2 linked regions of the Ovis aries genome follow. The protein of the gene in region 1 binds, or shares a complex with, the protein of each later gene. Links are inferred from orthologs where the notes say so. Each region holds a gene or a part of one and is shown in the gene's direction. Other genes may lie near its edges.

The links. The genes of interacting proteins can lie anywhere in the genome.
Region 2: the proteins of RHEB (region 1) and PDE6D are in contact, whole or in part, in a crystal structure (PDB 3T5G), measured with the Homo sapiens proteins. The link is inferred for Ovis aries from reciprocal best matches to the Homo sapiens genes RHEB and PDE6D. Residues at the interface, in NP_005605.1 of Homo sapiens: Pro2, Gln3, Ser4, Gln57, Asp77, Gln176, Gly177, Lys178, Ser179, Ser180, Cys181; in NP_002592.1 of Homo sapiens: Ile53, Leu54, Cys56, Val59, Val80, Gln85, Cys86, Leu87, Glu88, Glu89, Trp90, Ile109, Glu110, Ala111, Ala112, Pro113, Gln116, Met117, Met118, Leu123, Tyr149.

The regions. Positions count from the first base shown.
Region 1 is NC_056057.1:115,675,351-115,679,352, reverse strand, and holds the start of RHEB (GTP-binding protein Rheb), read left to right. Parts: upstream 1-1,202; coding exon 1,203-1,254; intron 1,255-4,002. UniProt on the Homo sapiens protein: Small GTPase that acts as an allosteric activator of the canonical mTORC1 complex, an evolutionarily conserved central nutrient sensor that stimulates anabolic reactions and macromolecule biosynthesis to promote cellular biomass generation and growth.
Region 2 is NC_056055.1:233,481,996-233,486,045, reverse strand, and holds the start of PDE6D (retinal rod rhodopsin-sensitive cGMP 3',5'-cyclic phosphodiesterase subunit delta), read left to right. Parts: upstream 1-1,250; 5' UTR 1,251-1,413; coding exon 1,414-1,463; intron 1,464-4,050. UniProt on the Homo sapiens protein: Promotes the release of prenylated target proteins from cellular membranes. Modulates the activity of prenylated or palmitoylated Ras family members by regulating their subcellular location.

The DNA.
Region 1 (4,002 bases):
CCTGAGCGCCGGCTCTCCGGTCTTAAATCCCCCTGGAAGGACGGTTCTGGAGAGTTCTCAGCCAACAACGGCGGGTGTTTTAAGTCTGCCTTACTCAATTAGCCATGCAGGTGTTGACAGTTAAACCTGCGTCGACCCGGCGCTGTTCCTTTCCCGTGAGGTGTCTGGGATCCGCAAACGCCAGCGTTAAGACCGGAACTGAGGAGATGCATGAAAACTGAGGAGAACGCTTTTTTCATGAAACACGTTCACATTTTCAATGAACGCATACTCCATTCTTCCCATGGTCCTCCACCCATGGCTGATGCTTCGTCATCACCTACATCCTCCAACCTAGACTCACGAAAGCCAATGCAGCAATTTTAAAACAAAAACAAAAAAACACACACGAGGAAGATATCAGCCAACCAAGAGCCCAGCAAGGCACCCGCCACCAGCCTCGTGCCTTTTAAGGGCTCAGCGGGCGCGAGTTCAAGGACCGCTCAGCGGCCCACCAATCACCGCACCTCCCACGCTTCGCCCCGCCCCCTCCCCGCGATCTAACCAATCCCTGGGGAGATAGCTTCTTTCCGCCCCTCCCACCCGCCTCCAGCCCCTCAGAAGCTCTAAGCCTCCAAACTTCACCGGCGCCCAGCCGCGCGTTTGTAGTCGGCGTTTATTTTTAGCTGCCGGGCCAAGCAGCCCCCGCCTCCGGGCCCGCCTCTTCACCGCCCGCCCCCCCAATGGGAGAAGGAGTTTCCGTCGCGTCAGCGCGCGGGCGGATGGGAACTGTCCAATCAGCGCTCGGGGAGAGCTGGCGTCATTAAAAAGCGGCGGAAGACAGTGGGCGGGTCATGACGCAGCGAGTTTTAGTCGTGACTTTTCCAGGGGCATCTCGGCGTCCCCTCTTTTTCCCTTTAAAGTAAAACACTTCCCGACGCACACCCCGTGCGTTTGGGGGAAGGGGCCGCGGCCGCGGGAGGGCGGTGCTGACGCGAGCCGCCTGCGGCGTCGCGCGGTCACGTGGGCGTGTTTGGGGGCGGGGCCGCGCGGCGGTTCCGGGCGGTTGGGCGCGCGAGCGAGGAGCTGAGGCAGCCGCGCCCGCCCGCCCCGCCCCGCCCCTGGATGCCGCTGTGCCCCGGCGCGGCCGCCGCCGATCGCAGCGCAGGAGCCGCCGCCGCCGCGGTTGATGTGGTTGACCCGGGGCTGAGGAGGCCGCCAAGATGCCGCAGTCCAAGTCCCGGAAGATCGCGATCCTGGGCTACCGGTCTGTGGGTGAGTGGCGGGCGCCGCGGCCTCCTCGCTCCCCGGGCCCCGAGCCTCGCCCGGGGCCCGGCCAAGTTTGGGGCCGGCGCGGCCATGTGGCGGCCGCGCGTTTCGTAACCGGCCGCCCGCCGTCGCCGCCACCTCCATCTTGGAGCGGAGGCCGGCGGCGCGGCGGGGCCCGCGGGGCAGCGCGGGGGACGCGTGTGGGAGGCCGCGGGCGAACGGGCGCTCGGGTCGGGCCGGGCCGGGTTGGCCGCCACGCCGCCCGCCGCAGGGCCCTCCACAGCCCCGGAGTAGCACCTGTCCCCCCTCCCCGCGGGGAGCAGTCCGTGATTGTTGCTGGTGGCCTTTTCCACCCCAAATTAAAACCCGTGGGGCTTCAACAAAGGACGTGGCTCCTTAGCCGTAATTTTTCTGTCTTGTGAAGTTTGAACATTTTAAAGCAAACCCGGGAGCTCAGAGGACGTTGGCTGCTGAGGGCCAATTTCCTAGGAAGAAACTCGAAAGACCACCACCCCCCCGAAACCTCCCGCTTCGGAAGCCTCCCAAGATGCTGCCAGCGACCGAAGTAGGAGGGCAGAAAAAGGGAAATTTCTGGCCACTTGGTGTCCTGTCTTTTCCTTTGGGGAGGAAAAAATAAGGTCAGATACTTGTAACCAGAATGTCGAAGTAATTCAAAAGTACCCCTCCCCGCACCCCGCCAAAGGTTGACATATATTTGAAACTGAGAGTGGCAGTCGCTTTTTCCACCCCTAACAGAGGTGGTCTGGGGTGAGAGGTGGTGGACGGGATGCCAGAAAACGAGGGAGGAAACAGAACCGTTGAACTTAACCATGCTTCAGGGTGAGGTTTTTATTGTCTTTGACAACCGGAAGTCTGGAAAAATTACTTCTTCTGTGTTGTTTTTAAGAAGTAGCTGTCCAAGGAAAAGGGCGCACTTGACCACAGTGGGGTGGGGGTGGCGAGGGCAGGGGTTCGGAGTCTGTGGTGACTGCAGAAGGAGGTGACACGAACTGCCCTGGGAAAGCTGGTAACTGCCTGCTCATTGGCCGAACTCCCCGACTTCGCTTTCCTTTCTGCTTCTTCACCCCCATTTTCCACGGTCGGTGCCAGGGTCTGTGCTCTTTGACCAAGATGAGCTGCGGCGTGCTTACTCATCCTTTTATTACCTCTCTTTGTCAAAGTGCTGGGGGGTGGGGTATCAAAATGAGAGGGTGAGAGACTCTTGTGTACAGATAAGGGGCGCCAGGAGCCCTGGGGGTAACTCCTGTGAGATGCGATGATCGTGGAGGGAGGGGGAGGAGAGGTGACAGTCTTAACAACTGCAGCCGTCAAGTCTCCGGGCGTCAGATGGAGGCTTTTCAAGTCTCTAACAGCCCCGAATGCACATATGGAACCACTGCATCCCCCCTTTATTGACAGTCTGTGTCTCAGAGCCTTTGCTTCTCTGTTCTCTCTCTTTTCCTCCTCTGCATTGTGAAGAGTGGGACTCGGACATATCCTGTCTCTTGAATGAGTTCTATCTCCTCAGAGTGCCCATAGTTAAAGGTACCAGTGTCTGAATAATCAAGTTACAGGTGACATGAATTACCTGGGCTGCCTGCTTTCAACTGAAGAGAATGTCCCAAACATTCTGGCTTATTTACCCCTGGAGATTCTTGAGGTGGTGATTCCAGTCGCCAGTAATCTAGTCTACCATTTCATCACTGTTTGTTAAAGAAGTTCTTTAGGTCCAGTTGAAACCAATTTTGTCTTTCCTGCCTTCTAATCCCATCCTCTTGAAGACCCAGAGGTGACACGTCCCCCGTTTGCCTTCACTTCACGTTTATTTTAAGCCACTGCTCACCGAGATGCTCCTGTGCTGGATCAGCCTCCAGGGGCACCCAGAGCAGGTCCAGTCCCTGTTTCCTGTGCCTTCCTGTTGCTAAAGCCTGCTCCATTGTCTCCGTGTTTATTTTCATATGTGGTGATGATTAAAATGTGTTTTGCACAGGTTCAATGACTACCAGTCTTTGCATTTGATTTTACAGTTGTTTACCTTTGTTAGGAACCAGGACTTTTTGTAGTTTGTGGGCTTTTTTGTTTTGCCAGCATCAGAAACGGAGATAGTTCCCTGATTCCACATCCTAGTCACTCTTCAGAGAATAACTCAGACTTCCGAGTTCACTGACCTGTCTGCTTGCCAATGATGCTAGGGTAGAGAAATCTGAGTACCTGTATTCCTAGGTTGTGTTACTGTGATGCTAAACTGTAGAGTCATATTGACTGGTGGGAAAAGAAGGTGGGAAAAGCCTAAGCCTGAAACCGCATCTTTCTTAGAATATTCTCTTGACTAAATATCGTATGCCAGTTTAATTTGTAAAATACTTGTCATTCTGAGTTTATTTTAAAAGTTTGGGCTTCCCTGGTGGCTCAGAGGTTAAAGTGTCTGCCTGCAATGCGGGAGACCCAGGTTCAATCCCTGGGTCAGGAAGATCCCCTGGAGAAGGAAATGGCAACCCACTCCAGGATTCTGCCTGAAGAATCCCATGGACAGAGAGGCCTGATGGGCTACAGTCCATGGGGTCGCAAAGAGCCGGACATGACTCTTGTTTGCCTTCAGATGAAACTACGAAGTGCAATGACTGTTTTACTATTTGGTGTTCAAATTTTGTAGTTATTTTAAAAACACTGGAAAAACTTAACAGTGAGAAAAACAGAATTCTCAGATAATTTATACAACTTTTTTTTTGTCCTGAAGCACCTTTCCTGTTATTT
Region 2 (4,050 bases), on another chromosome or scaffold:
AGAATGATTTCTGTGGTTTTCTATGCATGGGAAGATGCAAGTGTCTGGGCTCATTGAAATCATTCCCTAGACATGCATCTTAATTATCTAGAGCAAGTTCCTATTTTTCTCCCTCCTGAATCCTCCTCTGGGCCCATTTTCAGCGGTGGCTTCAGTGGCTGATGGCTTGACGGTGGGCAACGTTTGTTGTTTACTGAAATGTCAGGCAACATTTTTTTGTCCACAGTATCCTCTGGGTGTTTCAACCTTGATAGGAAAACTTCACCAAGGAGAGGAAGATCGCATAGCCATGTTGCTAAAAATATCACTACCCTAGTGTAGTGCAAAAAGCCCAGACTGCAGGAGTCTTAGAGCTGAATTTTAACTCTGCCCCAACTTTCTGTGACCCCGACAATCTCTCTGCCTCTCTGGGCCTCAGTTTCTTCATACGTAAAATAACAGAGGTTAGATTAGCAAATCCTCTGAATTCTGACTGCATTGATAGTCTGAGTACACAACCTTTACATCTCTTGGTCCACCGCAGGAGCACACCAGAAATCCCTGAGAAATACCTAACCGGCTCCCCAGGCCAACAAACAAGTACGGCTTGAAGGAGTCATTCTGTTACATTCTTTTTCATGATTTAATCAGTGTTTGTGTTTGTTGTTTCAGCCTTACCATGATTTGCAGGAGATTTCTGGGTTCCATGTAAATAGAAGTTACTTGTCTGTGGGCTGTCATCTTTTGAGGCTGAAGAGGATCTTCCTGCCCGGTTTCAACCCCTGGGATTCAGAAACCACCAAGCCTACAAGCAGATTTAGGGGTTTGCGCACACTGCGCGGCACACTGGAATCGAAGTTAGAGGAACTGAGTGCGGGGAATGCTGGGATTTGTAGTCCCTGGGTTTTCTGTTGCGTGCTGGGATCTGTGGTCCCCCCGGGCGCCCCCTGGAATGCTGGGAAGTGTAGTCTCCACCACATCGCACAGGGCAACGGGCTGTCATCTCAAAGCCCTACTGTACCCAGCCGCAGGAGAGCCTCTGCAAATCTGAAGCAAACTCTCCTCTGGGACAAACTCTAGGTAACCACGCCGAATGAAAATTTTGTCCTACGGGACTTCCCCGTGAGGGCCCTTCCCATTGACGCTCTTCGTCCCCCTGCGAAGCCGCTGAGTGTTTCTATTGGTCGATCAAGATGCCAATCGCCGAGGCAGGCTTCCTATTGGCTTCAAGGCGGGCGCTCAGAGGCTAGAGGGAAGGAGAAGGGATAAGGAGCGGGAGCTGAGGGGAGGGAGAGGCCGGTTTGGGTCTGGCCGCTGCCGCTGTTCTCCCGAGGTCTTCAGGCCGGGCTGCGGCTCCGTCCTCAGTTCCTGGGCACCGTCTGCGAGGCTCCGCCAGGCCAGCGTGAGAGAGCCGCAGGCGGCGGCCGCCGCATCATGTCAGCCAAGGACGAGCGTGCCAGGGAGATCCTGAGGGGCTTCAAACTGTATCCGCCCGGGAGCGGGGCGGGGCCGGGAGGACTCGGGAGGCGGCCGCTCGCTGAGGAGACGGGCCGGGGGCGGGGGCCGCGCCAGGTGGGCACCCGAGGAGAGGGTGGCGGGAAAGGGGAACAGGAACGGCGTCCGGGGGCCCCCGGCGGGACCCGGCGCGGGAGGCGGGGAAAGGGGCGTCTGGAGGAAAGGAGGGGACGTTGATGGGAGACCTGTGGGTAGAGGCAGAGGAGCCGCCGAATGGGGCTGGGAGAGGCTCCGGGCGTCGGAAACCGGAGTCGGGGAGGCGCGCTTGGGTCCGAGAAGGGAGGCCGGGAAGGGGCTGCGGCCCGTAGGGGAGAGCCGAGGGGGCGCGGTGGGCTGACCTCGAAGCCCAGCAGCCTCTGGCGGGAAGCCCACCGGGCAGCAGGGGGAAAAGTGACTTGGAGCGAGTGACCTTGTGTGGGACAAATACAGATGCTGGTGTTGAACTCTCAATGCGAGTGGGGTTCTCGCATCCCACTCCGCACCCCCCAACCCCACCCCAGACGCCACTCCCCTTCTTGTTTCCACAACTTCTCTTCCTCACTTGTGGCTCCTTCCAGGGCTGGAGCGGAGGAAGGTTGGGAGTGAGGAGTCCGAGATGGACCTCACCTTAACTCTGTCTTGGCCCTTGGAGGCGTTGGACGGTCGCTGAGTCTCCCTCAGCTCCTCAGTTGTCTTTCTAGCGAAATGAGGACCCTAGATGTGTGCGTGAGATGCCTTGAGGCGTTTTGGGTTTGCACTGGGACTCCTGGTGAAGGGGTGTGTCTGCTCGCACAAGTTTGTGTGGTTAAGGCGTAGACATGCTGGAACTGTCCAGCAATTGTTTGATTACGTTGGGGACACTGTAGGGTTTAGTAGGGTGTAGAAATCATTGCCTCGGGCCTGTTGTGGTGCTGCAAATACTACCTTCTTACCATAGTGAAACTGTGTTTGAATGGAGTGTTTATCTGTGACCATTTGATGCAGATGGAAAAAGTGCAATCTTCTCCGTTCCAATCTCACATTTTCCTGCTGACCTTAATCTCTTCTCACATCCTATGTTTACAATATGGAACATTCTTCAGTTCGTCTCTTAATGAACATATAGTCATCCCTGTAGGGCTCCTCCCCTGGAGATTTAGTCAAGCACTGTTCTCTGAGCTGACTGTGTTTCCACAGAGTCCATTTCACCCCTGCAGATTTTCATTGCCTTGTCATAATCAGAAACCAAGTTGGTAGTAAGTTTTAGAACCCAGCAGCAAAAAAGTTTAACAGAAAGTTTTGGAGGTACAAATTAAGTTTTTCAAAGGGGAACTGACCTACTATGCTTTTTTTTTTAAGGGAAGGCAATATTACCTAAACTTACTGCCATTCATGATAAACTTTAAATACTTTCATGCAGTGAAGTTTCCTAACAGCCTCTTTTACATATTAATAGCTTCATGTACTTCCCCTGTTTCTCTTCCTGATAGTGCCTATAGATAGGAATGGCTGAAGTGTTACAAAAGCTATGACGTGGATTTTATTTTTCCCTTAAGTAATTTATATTGCTACTTTACATTTATGCTATAAACAGTAAACTGAAGACTATAAAGAATTGAGAGATTTCAGAAGCCATGTTTTTATCTGATTGGAGTTAACATGTTGCTGAAAATAAGAACGGGTCTTTCAAACCAAAAAGGGAAAGTTTGAGCTACTCACCTTCAGTCTTGGTTCTTGAATGTTGTTCAAGAGAAACTTTGGCTCTTGAGAAAGAGGCAAAGGACAAATATGGGAAAGAATAGAAAGTAGAACCTGTGTTGTTTAGTGCATCACGAAACAGGCTTTCAGGGAAAATTTGACCGGGGCTGATTAAATCACATGGGGAGCAGCCACCAAGAAAATTTAGCGTGGAGACAACAGAATATCCTCCTCTGGTAGCTTTTATTCACATCCGAGAATTAAAAGAGAAAAGAAAAGAGTTCTAGGATTTGTTACTACCTTCAGGGAAAAATAAAATTAATATTTTAATAAGAAAATACCTGTTATCCACCTTTTATTGTATAAATTGTTCCAAGTATCTTTTTCTGTAAGAAGAGTCATTTCTACAAAAAGAAATCACCATTTTATTCTCCTGCCAACAATGTTGATAGTACTTATTTTCCACATTTACTGTGTTGGTCTTTTTCTTTTTGTCAGTTTTAACAGTAGATGACATCTTGTTTTAACTTGTGTTTCCCAGATACTGCTATCTCTGGAGAGGTAACAGCATAGTGTTTAAGAGATACGCTGGCTTGAGAGCTTTACTATCTGCAGTGGAATTCCAGCTCAGGTTGTGTGTCCCTGAGGAGCTTCTTTTAACTGCTGTTACAATTTCCTTAGCAGTTAAAAAAGGATAAAAATAGTATCTTATCTCCTAGAGTTATTGTGAGCATTAAATTAGTTGATATCTAAAGCATTTAGCCAAGCACTTGATGCCTGTAAGCACATTGTATTAGCTGTTATCGCTGCCATTGTTATTATTAGAAGTCACAAAATCTGGCCATTTCTTTTTCTTCTGTGAATTGTTTGTTGATTTTGTTTTTGCCCATTTTACTATTG